Drosophila melanogaster: one gene and its partners. The protein of the gene in region 1 interacts with the protein of each later gene in a pairwise test. Each region holds a gene or a part of one and is shown in the gene's direction. Other genes may lie near its edges. The genes, in order: bin3, Lim1, CG9467 and Syx16.

Region 1 (4,668 bases):
TTCATTTCCAGTCCACTTGGACCACTCGCCGGTATTGTACTGCTGATTGCAAAACTGCTGCTCGACGGCTGCACAGTAGAGGCGTTTACATTCAACGTAGAACCAGCTGTCGAGTTGTTGGACGAGCCACTGCTTCCACTAACGAGATCGTATTCCTGCAGATAGAGCAGCCCCAGATCAGATGCGCGCTCAAAACAGCTAATCTGGAGTAAGAAATTATTAAATCAGTTACGTTTTAAAACTGAAATCGAGGACTTTACCATTTCCGTGTCCTTTTCGGCCTTCTTAAACTTAGATGACGGCTTCGTAGTCTGCTGCTCCAGACACAATCCCTTGATGGCATACGATTCCGCAAGGATCTTCAGGCTGCGACTTTTATATATATGTAAGCAGAAGTGATAAGTTTTGCAAATTTGCTATTAATTAAGAGTTGATGTGTACATTCATCTTAATTTGCAAGTCCCCACGTAGTAGATGAGAACATTTTGATTAGAAAACCTTTTCCCAACTTACAGGGTCAGCTCCTTCTCGGCAAGCGTGTTGAGTTCTGCCTTGACGAAATTGTCTAGACTCTGCTCATACTCGCCGCAGGCAAAGCACAGCTTGGCCAGCAGCAAATAGGCGTCCAGGGCGATGCCCGCCTTCTGGCCACTCTCACCCAAAGCCAAGTGAAGGAAACGCCGGGCCTCCGCCAATCCAGACTTGGCGCGACCAAAATTTGAGTCTGACGCGAGAGCGTTTTCCTCCAGGTAACTCTCCAGACGAGCTTCCCCCACCAGAAAGTTGGCCAGGCACTCTGTTCCACGAAAGAAGGCAGTCATTCCAGGAGTACCGTCATCAGCGGAAATCTTCTTACCATTGTGCGGGGACCCGGTCTTCAGTTCATCCGTTAGCTCGATGACCCGGTGCCACTTGCCCTCGCTGCGACAGCTCTCAATCAGGGCCTCCACTTTGGTTGTGGTGTTACGCATGTTCTTGTTGGCCATATGTCCACTTCACGGATAATGTTGTCACTCTTTGCTTGCTGTGTGTGCCAGTGCGTGCCTGTGCTCGCTATAAAGCGGGTTCCTAAGAGCCTAAAGCGGATTCCTTCAAGACTAATCAAATTGTTTTGCAAACATTGGAGTTATCTGTTTTCTTCGCTCTTCTTCTTTCTCACATATGGCAGCATCTGTTATCGACAGCAACTATTATCGGTAGTCCCGCTAACAGCGTGCTGTAAAGCGATTTGTGTACCAGTGCTGTTAAGACATCTGTGGTCCGTCCCCTGTTAGCTGCTAACATGCTAACTCTCGGTCAGCTGTTCCATCTTTTTTTTTCCACAAGCGTGTGCAATCCATCAGAAGCTGTTCATATTGTTAATTGAATCGATAAGACCCAGTGTGGTAGCTCTTTCTTAAAAATATGAAACCTCTGCTCGCCAAATAGAACATTATCACATTATCCCTCATATTAGCAAGATGTCTTCATTTTATGTTGTTTTCTTACAACAGTTATGCATATGCATATGTACATACTATTATAAACTTCATTGTTTTTCGATTACTAATTTTTTCATTTTTAAAATTGGCAACACTGGTGGGCTCTGTTAACCGAGAATATATATAAAAATATGTTAGTTGTAAGTGTTTTCTTGCAGGAGACTGACGCACTTATTAGAGCTCCGCGAACGGAATCATATTTTACGGTTTTTTTTTTTTTTTATCAAGAGTGTGGCGAATTTAACGGCAACAACGAAACGAAAAGTGAAAACAAAGTTCAAGTCGCCACTGAGCAATCGTGGGGCTTTCTGGGCGGTAAGTGTTTTGTCCTTAAGATTCATTTTTGTTTTGTCTAAAGGCGCAGCACGTGTGGATTTGTGTGCACACTCAGCTGTTCCTAGGGTTTCTGTTTTTCGCGAGCACACACAAGTTAGCAATCAGTTGGAAAGCTATGAAGAAATGGAAGTAGTCCAGGCAGAGTATTTGGACAAGAGTAGTTTCTTAATTGTGTGTGTGTGCATAAACAAACGTTAAGTGCATTTCAACCTTCTAATAGGATATGGACCAGAAGAGTGGTCCCCGTATACCCTCTCTTATCGAGTTGACTTCCACTTTTGCTTTCAATTTTAGGAGCCATTTAAGCAATCAAATTTGTTTTTCCTGAGTGACCCCTCATGCCAACCGTTCTCGCAGTCATCGATAACTTTTATCGCGTGCCCCTCAGAAGTCAAAGTTAATTGCCAGTCTTTTATTTTTTTGCCCGGCCTTTTTGAGTTTTTGTTGCTTTTCGAATGTGCAATATTTCCATTTGCATTTCCATATACAAAATCTTAGGTAAAACATATATACAAATCAACACAAAACATCCATGTCAGATTCCAGGCTTTTGGCTCCTCTCATTCTTCAAATTTCTTGCCAATCTTTTAGGCTTCGGAGAGCATATTATTCACCCCAACCGAAGGAATTCGTCAAAAGCGGTGGTGGGGGTGGGCAGTTGGTTCCAGGGATAATAATGGTGGGGCGAACGGGTCGGATATGTGGGTTAGCAGTTCGATGCACAGTGGCTCTTTTACCCGAACTGCCAAAAAACAAATCAAACTGTCTTATGGAGCTGCTATAAGTATTAAATTAAAAATAGATTTTAATAGAAAAAGTAAAAATAGGAGTCCACTTCGAACGCTCCCCTGGTGCGCTTTGTCACAAAGTTAACACTTTCCTACAAAACACTATAAAGTGTAATTACGAACTAAATATTTTTTTCATTTTTTCTATCAAGACACTCATTTATTTGAGTATCATGGAAACCGTAGTCAAATTTAAACAAGCCAGAAGATGTTTAAATATATATACATAAATGTTTATATAGATTTGTTGAAAAGTAACAGATACAAGGAAGATTCGGCCACGAAGCTATTTTTTCCCAAATAAAATTCAAAATTAAAATTATTTTCTCATTTTCATGTCACTCCGAATATTAGCTAAAAGTGACATTAAAGGTATTACACGCATGTGGATTATGGTTACAGTGTCTTGTTCTATGAGTTTCCCGTTTATGGAAAGGAAAGTAAGCGCAAAACTGAAAAGTTGAAAAAAGGCGGCTTAACAATTTTAAAGTAGTGGGTGAATGGTTCCCGTTTGCATTCTTAACTTGATACACTTATAAAAACTTTCACTACAGTTTATAGAAAATGTATAAAATTTTAAAAGGAACTACCTTTTTAAAAGTAATTTTTTTCTTATCCTCTGAAAGAAATCAGGTTGCTACTTCCAAAATAGTTAATTACTATTATCTATAGCCATTATGAAGGAACTTATCTAGTAACAAGTTTATTGGTTTTAAGTATTTTGAATTTTCCTTATTTAGGCTATATCATTTTCTCTCAGTTTTTAGGGAGCTATATAAAATGTGCGTAGGACAAGTTAGAATATAAGATGGGTGAAATAGCCAAAAGACCGTTTGTTTCATTGTTCCTGCTGCATTGCCGCTGCAGTTTTTGTCCCGGCTGTTGTTGGTTTAGGTCCCGCAATCCTTTGTTTGCTTCTGCACATTCTTAATCCGCGCCAATGCATCTGTCAACGAGCCGGCGAACTCTCATTAGTGAAGCTTCGTTTTGTAGGCGTTCGTTAATGAACTACCCACATCGCGATGACCTTGATGTGAAAAAATCTGTAATTATGAAGAAAAGTAAGAAAGAAAATAACCAGAAAAAGGTAAAAATCCAGTATTTTTAAAATATTTGGATGGGTACCTTGATGACATCTTAGGAGTCCCAGGACATCTCTAAACTTTGTAAGGCCCATCTGATATATGTAAATATGTTATATTATCTTCTTAGTAGGCTCCCCAAACTGTGCAATATATTATTTGACAACAAAAATAATTGTTACCTTTCTATGTGCATGATGTATTTATTGTAATCTAATTTTTGTGCTCATTTTGGTTGGCTTACATTGTAAAATATTTACATTTTACCAAACGAAATGCTATTTCTGGACACTTTCTAAAAAAAAACGAACCCTTTTCGAAAAATCGCTCCAACACTCTGAGTAGAGGGTAACTGATTGCTTTGAACCTTGTTTGTATCTACATATCTCTATTTGTTTTGCTCTCTGAGCGCTCGTTGACTGGTCAACGAACCTGTTGCTGTTGTTAACAATAAAAAGCAACAAATTAAAAATATTATAGTCGCAACACCAACACTAGATGTTGGCAGTCTATGCAGGTATTAGGGAAATTCAACAGAAAACTTAAACATGGCGATTTGGAAATAAGTAAAAATTAAGAAATTTTGATTAAATAAAAGTGTTTATTAAATGGCATAAGAAATATATTATCTTTACTTTAAGTATGAGGTACCTTATTCTGGTCGCGTAACATTAGTATTACATACATTCCAGTTTGTACCGTCGGAAATTTAAGTCCCTTGCAGTTAATACCATGTAAAATTTATTAATGTGTTGCGGATCTGATTAAGTTACTCACTTATATACCGCAAATTGACTGCGTTTTGCAGTATTGTAATTTAGTAAAACACCTTAAGCATTTTATTTCGTAAAGTGTGAAAAGAAAGTTAAAAATCTTGACGCGAAATTAAAAGAAACAAAAGAGAACGCTGTAGTCGAGCCCATATACCATCAGATACCTGTTACTCAGCTAGTGGAAGTGCAAACGATAAATAATAATTAT
Region 2 (5,030 bases), on another chromosome or scaffold:
TTTTGCTTCAATATCCTTTTTATTCCATTCCTATTATGTCCTCATCCCTTTTGCTCTTACTAAATTTGGGGCAAAGCAGTTTTCAAGGCCGTCAAAGATCAACTGATTTCGATAACTTTTCGATAGCGCAGAACAAGTGAAAAGTGACACGCACACGCAAAAACAAAAAGCAAGCACTTCACAGCTTAACACCCTAATGTGCAATATTTTTGACTACCCCACATCCACGCACACAGCAAACGGCGCTCTTTAACCCACCACAGCCCCCTTATTTTGTGTCGAACATCTTCTTCTTCCTATCGAAGTGTGAGTGAGAGGGAAGACCGTAAGGAGTGAATGAGAGCGGGAGCCTCCTCCCCGACCTTTATAATGCGTTCTCTTTTACTCTCACTTATTTTATGCATTTTTTTTATTTTATCCAGTTTTGTCTTTTCTTGTTGTTTGTTTAGATCTTTGGCATTTTTGCAATTTGAATCCTATATTATTTCTTATGGTTTTTATTGGTTTTTGTATTGGTTTATTTTTACGATAAGTGTCTTGCTATAGATTTATCTAAATCGAAAGCTTATTAAAATTGCATTTGTTAAAGAAAAAGAAAAAGATATAATATTTTGCACAATTTTAAATGTTTTTTTCTACTAATTTTTTGTTACTTGCAATTTATCTAACACTTTTTCTTTGCTTTTTTTTCTTCGCCTCCGTTTTTTTTTCTTGCTGTCTCCAGTGCGTTAAAACGCCAAAGGGGCGTCCCTCTCCAGCTAACGCCCCCACCACCCCCCGCCACTAGTGCTCTCCCTTTCGCACTGCTAACGACAAGTGACAAACACAAGTTGCAGAAGAGGCAGCCGAACAAAAACAACAACTAAAAATAAAAAAGAAGGAAAGAAAAAAGTTTTTGCGACCAACAGTTGACAGTCGAAAAGCATTTGACATTTTACCTTGGCACGCACACAAGCACCGCCAAGTGCGAAAGGGACAAAACGCGGGCAAATGTCACTTTGAAAAATGCCATTGGCCCGGCCAGCGAGTGTGAGCGAGAGGGCGCGACGGCCGGAGAGCGTGAGAGCGAGAGAGCGCCATTTTGCGCATCTCTCAATGAAGCAACAATAAAAAAACCAGTTGCTTAGCAACGCCCCCTCTAACCGCAAAAAAGAGAGCTGGAGAGCAGGAGAGCCAGTGTTGCAACAACAATGGGCAAAATGGAAGGGCAACAACAGCAACAAAAACCAAAAATATCCTTACAGGAACAACGCCAGCACCAATCTTGAGAAAAGGATCAAAAGCCCAAGATCAACAGAAGAATGTGTGTAGAATTTAAAAAAAAAGTGAATTTTTGGATTTTTAAAATCTTATGAATCTAACAAGCATCTAGTAAGGCTAACTAAATATTTAGTTATCATGCTAAATATATCAAAATTTTCAAAGAACTTATATTGTGTATTATCGAACAATCACCTAAATTAAATCCTAAAAAAGGAAAAAAAATTAAGATTTCTTGATATTTTTTTCCAATTGTTATGAAATTGTATATCCTTTTCCAAAATATTTTTAATAATAATCTAGATATGCATACCAAATATTCTAGTCATATTTTTTCCATTTTTTTAGAAAACGTTTTGAAAAACAATTTTTTTATTTAAGAATAATATGATTTCTTCATGCCCAACACGAGAGAGCCAGGAGAAGCGACGGAAGCGAGAGCGAGAGAGCCTGCGACTCCATTGCAGCGCCGCCAGCAGCGCAGTCGGCGTCGCAGCAGCCCCAGCTCAACATTCGCTGCATCTCGCTCTGGCGCAGGCGAAATATGCGAGCACTGCTTGCCGCATTCGGTAGCACGAGTGCGAGCGATGCGCCTGCTAGCATCTCGCTCGCACCCAGGCGCGCCATTCGTCGCCGCTTCGGCTCGCCGTTCGTGTGTGTGCGTGTGCGCTCGGCTGGCAGCTATCGGTAATCGGGCCGTCCGCTTTGCCGTCGCGTTTGCCGTTTTCCGTTTTCAGTTTTTGTTTGACGTTCGCGTGAAGCGCCCGCAAAACGCAAAGCGCACGAGGCAACGCTCGAAAAAGGAGCCAACGCAGCCGTTTACCGTTAGTCAGCTGTTTACCGTTCCGCCGCGAGATCGAAAACCGAGAATTTTTGCCGTTGTTCAAATTTTTTTGCAAGTGAGAATCTTGAACAACAAGAAGAATATACAACACATAAATACAACAAAACCAAGGAATCGCCGAAAAGCCGATAGTGCAAAGTGTTTAAAAAGAAAAGAATCAATTTCATATACAACAACTAAAGAAATACTGGAATATAAGGCATAATAGAAGCGGAGGAAGTTTCTTCAACTCAAAGAGGAGCGGAATTTCGCGCTTTGTTTTTGTTTTGCCAAATTTGCCGCCGGCACACACGTGCTATCCCCCTCTTGCTCGCACCTTGCCACCCAGTCTTTATGTGCGTTAACCGTTAAGTGTGCAGTTGGGGCCCGCTCCTATCTTTCTCTCCCTCTCTCTCTCGCTTCCGCACCCGCACACACACACATATATCCACACCCACGCGCGCCTCGTTCACATACGCACACACACGCGGGACTTAACCCATTGACGGCCCCCCCAAAAAAGCAGTCACTCTTAACCCCCCCGAAAAAAAGAAAAACTCCATCCCCCCGGCATCAAGATATTCGACAACAAAATTCTCACCGAGGCCTCAAAAGCGCCCCTGAGGGCCGTCGCACTGGCGTCATATCTGGGCGACGGGTTCGCCGCCCTCGGTAGCCGCGCCCCCCCGCCCAAGGACCATCTGATGGCGTTCGGGGCGGTACTACACACCAGCCAGCACAATATCGGTAAGTGATCGTTTTGGGGAATTTAGGCATTAAGCGGTTAAGGGTCCAGGAAAACATAGAAAATCTGGGGGGTTTGCAGTGAGAATCCCAAACAGGCAAGTTCTTAAGGTTAGTCACATATAGGATACTGCAATCGAAATCATTTCATCCAAGAATCAGCACTAAATCTTTGAGTTGTGCTTGTAGTTCTATAGAATAATATCATTGGGAAGTCAAGGATGAAACATTTTACAGATCGAAAATAGAAGTTGTTTACATCTAATCTAGATTAAGTAATATTCATGATGTCCTCTATCGAAATAGAATGAAAACACCTGTTTGTAGGCTTCGTATAATATTTAAATTGTTTATAAAATCTGTAGACGAGTGATCAATGACACCAATGACACATTTCAAAAATACTTTTAAAAGATGGCAAAGAAGTGAATTTTCGAAAAATGTACTGACAAAAAAGTGGAATCTATTAAAAATGGCTTGATCGCTATGCCGACGGGATGTGGTCTTAGATTTTCAACTGGTGGTAGAAAGACATAAGAAAAGTAGGGTCGAGTGCGGTCGAAAGTCCTTAAAAGGAAGTCAACCCCTTGAAGGATCGGCGAAATGCGATCCCTAGGATGGTGGGTTAATACAATACCGCTTGCCCGCAATGGGTTAAGATGGCCAAGGAGTTTTTAATGGCGACGGCTGGGCAGCAGCAAAGTTTTTGCACTTTTGAACTTGCTTCCCGTTTTTAGGGGACCGCCGGCGAGGAGGAGAGGGGCGTCTAATGCCCCGTCGTCCATCTGCCGTCTCTTTTTCGCATTACCATTTTGTATGCTTTTGAAGTTCTTGTTCATCTGTTTTTGTTTCGGTTTTGTTTTTCCTCCTCTTGTTTTCCCGTTCGTTTTTGGACTGAAAAACTTTTGCGCAGTTGTCAAAGTTTTTCAGCTTCTTCTTCTGCCGTTCTTCCTCTACCCCATCTCATTTTTTTTGGCTTTTGTTTTATTTCATTTGCTCTCTGTCAAATTTTCACTTTTGCTGACTGTTTAATGTCAGGAACAAAAAAAAAAAAAAAAAAAAAAAATAGTAAAAAGGGAGCAAAAAGTTCAGAAATGAAGGCTCCCCTCTAGTTTTGTATTTTGTGATTAGTTGGTGAGGAATATTTCGTTTATATGTATGTATGTAGCTCCCCATCAATTTGAATAACTATAAAAAACATTTATAAACTACAAAATTAAGGATCTGCAGAGATTTAGAGACCGAACACTCTTTTCGAGTATATTTTGGATTCTTATCAAAAGAAATGAAATGAGAAATGATTTAAGTACATATTAGTAAAAATGTAGTAAGGTATTTTATACCACAAAAAATTTTTCAAAAATATTCTAAAATCCTCAATAGCTTCGTTTTCGAACCAGTGAGGTTCGATGGAAATTGCAACTGCAAATTCTCCATTTAACTTGTTGACATTGGACATACAGCGGCCGACACCTTACTTCCCCCATAAATTGGCTAGAGAACTGTTGGGGTTTTTGGGCTTGGGGCCTGCAGCTCCGGGGGCGGTTCAAGTCAAAAGCTGTCGACATTTGACTGGAAAATGGATGTTCAGGAAGCCGTAGACCCGCACAGTGGGCCACCTTACGACGGCGGACTGATGCCAAGTGGAGTCGTAAAGCTGCCAAGCTTTCTTCTTCCTGCTTCTACTGTTTCTCGGTTGGATTTTTTTGTTTTTGTTTTATTTCTCGCTCATAGACATACCCATTAGCTAATGACTAAGTGTTGGCAGTTATGAACTTAACTTGCATTTAGTTGGGGAAAACTACAAAGTAAAGTACCACTGAATATAACTCGGCTTAATGAAGATAACTTTTCCGCGCAGTAGCTGTATCTTTTTTCGAAAGTTCGTAAAGTAATTTGGAATCAGGAAAGATATCCAATTTTTTATGGTATAGTTAAGGTTTTGAAATGAGATGGAAAAAATGTATTGGAAATACTTAAGATAGGATACCAATTTAGGTCGTTGAATCTTTGGTAATGTGTTTATTCTTAAGGAATTTAGTTTTCAAAACTTCAATAGAATAGGGTAACCCCTCGTCGTTCAATTACCAATATCATCGGCCATTTCTCTGGTCGACTGCTCATTTTTCTTCGCATATATCTTGGTGGCAGCATCTTTTCAATTTTTATGTTGCTGCTAGCGAACACGGCAGCAACATGCAGC
Region 3 (5,437 bases), on another chromosome or scaffold:
AACTTAGTAGCATCACCTTCTTCTTGTTGGGAATGTCCCACTCCGGCTTGGACAGCACATAGGCCAGTTTGGTAAAGGCTGCCTCCTGAGTCATATCGTAGCCGGGTATTACGCCCACTTCCATCAGACCCTGGCTTGTCTCGTAAATGTTGGCCACCATGCCCGCCGAGCACTGCGTAATGTTGACAATAATAACGCCTCTGTGAACCGCCTCCCTCAGTTCGTCCAGCAAGTCCTCACGATTAACCGGAAAATTGCCGGCCCCAAAGGTCTGGAGGACAACACCTTTCGTTGGCTCTTTCAGGATTGCCTGCACCACACTGGCACTTATTCCCGGGTAAATACGCAGCAGCGCCACGTTCTTTTCGAGTTCCGAATGAAGTGAAAATGGTTTAATATTGCACGGTCGGAAGATTTGGCGGCTGTTGATCTCAATGTTGACACTCGCCCGACCCAATGGTGCAAAATTTGGTGAGTCCAGTGCGTGAAAAGAGTCAGAATTGAGCTTCGTGGAGCGACAGCCACGTAGAATCTTGTTGCCGAAGAAGACCAGCACTTCGGGTATACTGTAATTTCCTGCTATGAGAAGTGCGCCCAAGAAGTTCTCCCGCCCATCGCTGCGGGCTTCAAAGATCGGAATCTGTGCCCCAGTGAATACCACGGGCTTGTTCAGGCTCTCAAGCATGAACGCTAGTGCCGAGGCGGAGTAGGCTAGGGTATCCGTTCCATGGAGGATCACAAAGCCGTCGTAGGACTTGTATGTCTTCTGCGAAAAAAGTTAGTTGCATATTTTGTATTAACCTGATGATCCTCGACTCTCAACTTACTCCCACTTCGTTGGCAATGCGCTTCCAGTCGCAGAAGCCCATGCAGCTGGAGTCCATCAGTGGGCAGAACTCAATCAAATCGTAAAGGACTCTATACGGAGCTCCAGACACTGCGGGTAGCACCATCATGGGACCATCATTATCCTTGCTGGTGTAATTCCTGTCGTGGCAGCTGGGAAACTCTTGAAGCTGCCGAGCCAGCACCTTGGGCGCGGTGTGCAGTACTGATGAGAAACAATTGATTAGTACACGGACAAGAGCCATTGATATACCCACCTCCGGACTCGTTGCGGATCATTCCGATGGTTCCACCCACGTAGATGACATGGACGCGAGCCTCCTTCTTCAAACAACCGCACTTCGCCGCCGGCATTTTGGGCTTTTTCGAAATTTTGAGTGGTGTCCGAAACTAAACTAAAGCGTAGTTCCAAAGGCTCAGAGTGTGACAGCAAGATCCATGAGCTTTTTGTTTTGATGCTTAATACAAGTCATAACTTTACAATATTTTCAAATTTACCACCAAGCGAAATAAACCGTTGCTTGACGAAAAGGTGGTATGACCGTATTGCATGGGAATTTAACCGAGAGTTAGAGATGTACACTGCTTCACAAGAAATATCGTTGCTTATAATTGTGGAAATGCATATACTTTCTGATGCCCAAATTAATTTTATTTCTATATTAATTATTTTTTAATGATGAATTGTTGTTTGGAAACCATCAAAAACCTTGGTGAGTTAACACATACAAAATCAAAAGTGGAAAGTTCAGCAAAACAACTAAATGCAACAGGGACCCCCCGTAAACAGTGACTCGTCATGGCTGGGAACAGTCACGACCAATTTGCCCATCCCTAGTTTCTACAGTGCAGTGCAACAAATAATAAATAAATAAATAGCCTGGCACAAAGAGTTAATCGAATAAATTGCACCCCGCAGCGCACGTCAAGTGGGTTGGGTACCGAAATCGCGAGTTATCTGCTCCGCTGACGCCGCTGCCACTGCTCCGCCATATCAGTTGCTGATTGGAGCGCTGGGAGCACGGAAGCCACACAAATAGAGGCGCATTTAGAGCAATCCCCACCGTCCGCTGCTGCGGCAGCCCGCGGGTCATCGGATTGCCATGTCCCACTTCACGCATGCCTCCAGCAGCGACCTGGTCAACCTCAATGTGGGTGGTCAGCGGTAAGAACAAAGAACCAACACATTACGGCCCACTAACGGCATTGATGACGCATGCAAACTCCATCTCACTATCCATAGCTTTTCCACGTCGCGGCAAACGCTTACGTGGATCCCGGACACCTTCTTCACGGCTCTTCTCAGCGGACGCATCTCGAGTCTCAGAGACGAGCACAATGCCATCTTTATTGATCGCGATCCGACGCTCTTCTCGATCATACTTAACTACTTAAGGACCAAGGACATCGACATCAAGAACTGCGAAATACGCGCTCTGCGCCATGAGGCCGAGTACTATGGCATCACGCCGCTGACCAAGCGCCTGGCCCTCTGCGAAGACCTTAACCACTCGTCCTGCGGTGATTTGCTGTTCTACGGATTTCTGGCGGCGCCGCCCATGCCGTCAAACGAAGCTGTGGCTGCTACTAGCGTTGACGAGTCATTGCCCTCCACTTCGGCCAGTGCGATTGGCAGTCGTCCTGGGTCCATGGTGCGCGTTCCCGAACCCTCACGCTCCTCACACTCGCGCAATTCATCATGGGATCTGCGCCTTGGTCGCACAGGTAGCACTGGCAATGGTGCCAATCCCCCAGCTCCCATGTTGCACTCACGTAATCCCTCGATTGACTTTATGCGCCACTCTCGGAACTCCTCGGCCGATCTGAACAAAGTCTTTCGAAACGAAGTTGGCCTGGTATTCAGTCCCACGCAGAACTCAAACTGGGTGGACCCGTTGCGAGTGCAAATCATTAAGGCGCACCAAAATTGGATAGCAGTGGCTTACGCACACTTTGTGACTTGCTACCGGGTGAAAGACTCCAACGGATGGCAGCAGGTGTTCACATCGCCCCACATCGACGCCACTATCGAAAGAATCGCCATCAACTCAAAGGTGAATACTTCCGCAGCAGAGCCACTGCCCAGCAAGATGGTGGCCATTTCTTACGGCAGTCAGATAAGATTGTGGAGCATTCAGGAGGGCGGCCAGAAAACGGATGTGGGCACGTTTAATTTAAATGTGCGAGTGGAGTACCTGTTCTTTATCGGCAGTCAGCTGGTGGCCCTGTCATCTTCCGGCAAGATCGGCGTCTGGCATGCGATGACGCAGCACTGGCAGATTCAGGACCTAGTGCCCGTGCTCTCATTCGATTCCGCAGGCTCTTTTTTGCTGCTGGGCTGCAACAACGGCTCCATTTACTACATAGACATGCAGAAGTTCCCGCTCCGGATAAAGGACAATGATTTACTGGTTACCGAGCTCTACAAAGATGTCACACTAGACCCTATCACGGCCATCTCGGTCTACCTTACCCCAAAAACCTCGAGCATAAGTGGCAATTGGATTGAAATTGCCTATGGCACAAAGTCGGGAGCGGTTCGAATCATTGTCCAGCATCCGGAGACAGCTGGCCATGGACCACACCTGTTCGAGACCTTCTTTGTGCACCAAAGCCCCGTAACGAAGGTGATGCTGTCGGAGAAATACCTCGTCTCCGTGTGCAGCGAATACCACCACGTGCGAACATGGCGTCTGACCCGCTTCCGGGGCATGCTCTCCACCCAGCCGGGATCCACGCCGGAAGCATCGTTCAAAATCGTGTCGCTGGAAGCTACCGATACGAGCTACAGCTATGCGGCTGGAAATGATTTTGGACCTTACGGTGACTACGACGACATGATATTTGTGCAAAAGGTGGTGCCCGAGACGGATCAGCTGTACGTACGCTTGGCCTCCAACGGTGATCGGGTGTGCGTCATTAGATCCGTAGATAGCTCCACAATTTCGGCCTTCTGTGTGCTCGAGTGCGAGGTATCGTCCCGGTTCATACTCACCGGTCACTGCAACGGCGCTATTCAAATGTGGGACCTAACCACTGCACTGGCGCTGCTCTCCAAGGATGAGCCGCAGCAGAAAATCAATGGCGGACCCGACACCAATGAGCTTCTCCGCCTACTTGACCAGTGTGAAATCAGCAATTCATCATGCACAACACCTTGTATGTCACCGTGTCTATCAGCTATGGGCAACGGCTCTGGAATGGCCTCCTCCATAGCCCGCATGAAAGCCAGCAACATAGCCCTGCTAAATCGGGAACCAGCAATGGCAATGGCCGTCCAAGCCGTCCAGCCGCCCGCTCAGGTCCAACCTGCTCTTCCAGAGGCTGTGGCGCCGGCAGCTGCTATCCCGATGGCTGACGACAACAACGAATGAGACGTGGAAGCGGCTGCTTGATTGGCGCTTGTCGGGCGCGTTTCATCGTTTACATTTCACAGGTATAGCTTAATCTTCGACTACCAGTTTATATTCCTGCAGTTCGTGGTGTGCGCCCTCATCTACGTCTGGGTGACGCGACTCACCCGCGGTCCAGCCACTGGGCCGTGATGAACTGCCAGCAGGCATTTACCCAATCAATTAATCTCCATTATATGTGCTCGATGTGTTTGCAAATGCAATGTGTATCCCGTAAACCCATTTTTTGTGCTCCTCCAAACTTGGATCGTACAGTTAGTAATTTAAAAAAAAAACGTCTGTCTTTGTTCTAGTTAAAGTTATGAAAATTAGTTAAAACCATGTAAACCAGAGTATAAGACTTCTGCAACCGATCATCTATAATTAGCACAACTCTCCTAAAGGGTGCTCCATCAGGACAGATACGAAATCGTTCGGCTTGGATAAGATTGGTTGCCTTAAGCAAAGAAAGTTCATTAAACAGCCAATCAGTTGATTGTCAACCTTGAAGATGATTACTTGTGATTAAAATCGATAGAGCGACTGCTTCAAATTCGAATCTGTCCTGTTGCATGCAATGCCACACATGAATATAATGATACGCCTTGTTGCAACCAGTAAACAGCTATACATATTCAATATAAATAAAGATAATTATACACAAAGAGATATCAAAATAGCGAGCGAGTTGTGTCATCAATAATTTATTGAACATTTTATCTTAGTTTCTTGATGGTTGAAGTGTTCCATTAACATTTATCAAATACAAATACTTGGCTTGCATTCTCGTGGGTGTTGTGTGTGTAAATACGTGTATATACGATATCCTACGCCTATACCGGACCTCAGTAAAGTAAAAAAGCAGCAAAAACGCCAAAACATATAAAAATATATATAATATACATTTGTGTATTGTAGGTAAGTTACCCCAACCCAACCCCGACCGCCATTTAAATATCATTGGCCTAAACACAACCCACTAACGACCGCCGGTGTGCTTAATAAACAATTTAAACAAGTGGCTCGTCAAGTGGGACCCCTGCCTTTAATTTACCTAAAATAGGACGCACTGGTACTGAGATAGAATAATAATAATGGAGTAGATACTTGGAGCGATTACCCACCCTCGCCCGGAAGCAATTGTCGAGCCGTTCATACAAATAGTTTGTACACAAATTCAACCTAAAGCTATGCTATAT
Region 4 (3,639 bases), on another chromosome or scaffold:
AGCTTGGGTGGTAAGCTTTTTGATGGCCGTGTCCGAGTCCAGAGGCCGACAGCCGTCGCAATTGCAGGCGGAGAGAGGACCGCAGTACTCCGGCTGGCAGCAGGAGCACTTGAGCTGCTGAGCGCCGCAGTAGTGCTTGCCATCGTCGCCCAGGTAGGATAGTTGTCCGCGGGCATTTAGGAGCGGCGCGGTAGGCGACGAGACCAGCTCGCAGTCCTGGATCAGATGGTTCCACAGTACGGCGCCGTCGGCGGCGTTGCGCAGGGAGGCGATGAGATCGGCGCGCAGCCACTTGGCGTCCAGAAAGGGCAGCGGGCGCAGGTAGAGATCGGGCGAATGGCTGGGCGGTGCTGCTGATCCGGAACCTGATCCCGATCCAGATCCTGCTGCGGAGCCTGCTCCTGCCGCTGCTCCACTGGCACCTCCACCCCCTCCTACTCCAACTCCAGCGGAGACTGGTGCTGCAGAAGCGGTCTGGCTGGACCCAGCACCCTGGCCACTGGATCCGGCTCCTCCGCTCGCCTGGCGGTTGAACATGTTTGTGTTTTCGTGTTGCCTTCCCTAGTGCTCCACCGCCGAAGTCAGGCTAGAAACGAGCTCGACCACAACCACAACAACGACAATGGCATGGCACAGTTACCCCTTCAAGGGGGGTGTGGTGGTGGGTTGGAGCGCGGGTGGGGGCGGGGGCGAAGGCGGGTCAATGTCGTCACTGGCACACACACTAAGCACACGCACACGCGCGCAAGCACACACACAACTGCAATCGGGCGTCCAGGATCAGGATAATTCGTTGTTATCCTTGTCCGCACTGCTCATTTCGTTGTTCCGCTCGGAGTTAGTTATGACATCCTGACTTTTCCACCCGCACTTGAACTCTCCGTTTTCCGCGCTTGCTGCTTTCGGGTCACAATTGGAAGTGCCAGTTACCAGTACAATGCAATTTGAAATCAAGGAATTATTTTAAAATGAAATAAAATTGTTTGATGGCAATCGATATCAGGGGGAGGTGCAAACTGACTGAGCTATCAAGTAATCGATATCAGGGGGTCGAGCCATCGATATGTTTTGCCTTTCGATAGCTCTTCAGTGTTCTTAAGTCACAGGCTTGTGTCACGGATTAAAACCCAGTACAGTGGAAGCTGGCTATTAGAAAACGTTAAGCCAAACTCATAATGAGTTCCCTAAAATTCTGTAAATTTGTAATTTTTAAACATTAGCCTAAAATGTACTTGATTCTAAAATCATTTACAATATCATTCGGTTATATTACTCTTTCGTAACGCAAAAAAAGAGAACGCACATAACAAATTATTGAATACTTTTATTGTACTATTACGGTCGTTTTATTGCTAAAAGTATTGCATTTCAATTTACGTGACGGTGTGTACAGAATTAACTTTATAAATTGTTGAAACTCAACAAAGCAATACTATATTCTGTAATTTCCGAATATTTCTATTGGAGCTATCCAATCCGTATATTGAAAAAATCACTTTCGCAAATAGGATGTTTAGGAGTATACATATAAAGTACAGATTCTACAGATAATAAGAAAATAATATTTAAAATAAGTATAATTCTCGGACATGTAACGGTGCGTTCAGGCCAGGGTGACCAGTTCGTCGTGGCGACTATCGGTATTCTGGGCGAGCAAGTCAGCGGGCACACTGCGCTGCTGTGTCAAAACGAAACTGGAAAAAATCTGATTGAGTTTTCAGCGGACTTGGATCAATCCTTCCAATCCCCAAGAAATCGGGAGCAGACGGCCAGGATGACGTCGCGCAACCTGACGGAGGTGTTCGTCATCATGCGCAACAATGCGTCCAAGAACCGGAATCACTACGACGATCGGGTGAGTGCGTCTCCGTCTGGGGTCTTCACTGTTATCATCAACTAACATATGTTTTGCGTTTCTCCGTCTTCCAGAGGGGCAGCGATGCGGAGCGCCTTCTAAAGCACTCGGTGCGCGAGGCGGAGGAGGGACTGGAGCTGCAGGACGACTACGGCACGCCGCCCGCCTGGCTGGACAAGTTCGAGGAGGCGCAGTACACCATGTCTAAGTGGGTAAACAAACAGTAGTCCATGCGCAGGGTTCAACTTCACTCCCATCACTCGTTTGCAGGATCAAGCCTAAGCTGGATGAACTGGGCTCCCTGCACGCACGCCACCTCCTGCGACCCGCCTTCGATGATCAGCGGGACGACGAGTGCGACATCGAGGTGCTCAGCCAAATCGTCTCCAAGCTGATCACCTCCACGCACCGGCACATCCAGTGCGTGCGCAGCAGCATCGGCGTGGGCAGCAAGATGGAGCAGTGCCTGACGGTCAACGCGGTACACTGCGCCCTGCTCCAGCTGCAGGAGCTGACGGTGAAGTTCCGTGCCAGCCAGAATGCCTACCTGCTTCAGCTGAACTCCCGCGAGGAGCGCTCGCAGAAGTACTTCGACGACGGCGGCGGCGCTGGCGCTGGAGACGTCTTCACAAACGTGGAGCTGGGCGAGCAGAGCGCCGAGAACTTCGTCGACTCCTTCGACAACTTTCTGCAGCCGCCGGCGGAGGGCAAGTCCGGCAACGGCTATCTGTTCGAGGACGACGAGCAGGCCATCGACGATCACTTCCAAAGGCCGCCGGCCAGCCGGATGACCCAACAGCAGCTGCTGCTCTTCGAGGAGGAGAACACGCGGGTGGCGCAGCACCGCGAGCAGGAGGTGACCAAGATAGTCAAGTCCATCTACGACCTGAACGACATCTTCAAGGACCTGGGCCACATGGTCCAGGAGCAGGGCACTGTGCTCGACCGCATCGACTACAACGTGGAGCAGACGCAGACGCGCGTCTCGGAGGGATTGCGCCAGCTGCACAAGGCGGAAATGTATCAGCGCAAGAACCGCAAGATGTGCGTCATTCTCGTCCTGGCGGCGGTCACATTCTTCATGCTGCTGCTGCTCATCCTGACCAAGCTCTAGTTGCCCACGCGCCTCCAGTGGGCCGACCTCATTCCCGTCATTCGCTGTGTGTGTTTGTGTATATTGTAAATGTTTGAATACATGTTATTATATTTATTATTTATTGCTAATGCTAAAAAAAAAACCGCAACTACTCCCTCTCAAGTCGAACTCCACTCCAGTCCAGTCCACTCCAGTCCGCTCTCCCAATCACATGCGCTCCGAGAGGCGCGAGGCGACTGCCCGCAGGTTGCCATACACCTTGCTGGGCGGCGAGCCGAGGATTAGGTTGCAGACGGCCCGGCGCGCAAGCTGAATGTTCTGGTAGCTGCCCAGGATGTGGATCTTGCTATCGGCTAGCACGATGCGGGTCTTGGTCACGTTCTCGATGGTGAATTTGGTGCGGCCGCCCTTGCCGGCGAGGCGGCCGATGGCGCGAGACTGGTGGTCGCCGCGCAGCGTCTTCACGTCCTTGATTTCGAACGACTCGACGAACAGGTCCTCCAGACGCAGCAGGGCCAGGGCGTCGTCCACCTCGAAGCCGCAGAGAAAGGCGCGCACGAAGTCGGCGCCGCGCTGCAGGTTGGCTATGTCCGGCGTCTCGGGGCCCACACGCAGCTCCACCTGGCGCGCCTTCATGTTGAAGCGGATCTGCAGCTTCATGTGCTCCACCACGGGCGTAAAGATCTTC

The links.
Region 2: the proteins of bin3 (region 1) and Lim1 interact in a two-hybrid assay, tested with the Drosophila melanogaster proteins (one large-scale study listed by BioGRID).
Region 3: the proteins of bin3 (region 1) and CG9467 interact in a two-hybrid assay, tested with the Drosophila melanogaster proteins (one large-scale study listed by BioGRID).
Region 4: the proteins of bin3 (region 1) and Syx16 interact in a two-hybrid assay, tested with the Drosophila melanogaster proteins (one large-scale study listed by BioGRID).

Annotation. Positions count from the first base shown.
Region 1 is NT_033778.4:6,212,956-6,217,623, forward strand, and holds the start of bin3 (bicoid-interacting protein 3), read left to right. Parts: upstream 1-1,612; 5' UTR 1,613-1,796; intron 1,797-3,241; exon of another isoform or gene 3,242-3,648; intron 3,649-3,730; exon of another isoform or gene 3,731-3,782; intron 3,783-3,869; exon of another isoform or gene 3,870-3,939; intron 3,940-4,668. Other genes in the region: Ttc7 (tetratricopeptide repeat domain 7), read right to left, coding at 1-203, 261-372, 514-796, 857-986.
Region 2 is NC_004354.4:8,802,764-8,807,793, reverse strand, and holds the start of Lim1 (LIM homeobox 1), read left to right. Parts: upstream 1-1,989; 5' UTR 1,990-2,787; coding exon 2,788-2,830; intron 2,831-5,030.
Region 3 is NT_033777.3:9,797,243-9,802,679, reverse strand, and holds CG9467 (uncharacterized protein), read left to right. Parts: upstream 1-1,653; 5' UTR 1,654-1,949; coding exon 1,950-2,011; intron 2,012-2,089; coding exon 2,090-4,220; coding exon of another isoform or gene 4,221-4,391; 3' UTR 4,392-4,911; downstream 4,912-5,437. Other genes in the region: CG8526 (uncharacterized protein), read right to left, coding at 1-766, 828-1,051, 1,104-1,200.
Region 4 is NC_004354.4:20,391,778-20,395,416, reverse strand, and holds Syx16 (syntaxin 16), read left to right. Parts: upstream 1-1,665; 5' UTR 1,666-1,774; coding exon 1,775-1,855; intron 1,856-1,929; coding exon 1,930-2,063; intron 2,064-2,125; coding exon 2,126-2,969; 3' UTR 2,970-3,083; downstream 3,084-3,639. Other genes in the region: HERC2 (HECT and RLD domain containing protein 2), read right to left, coding at 1-537; l(1)G0004 (lethal (1) G0004), read right to left, coding at 3,159-3,639.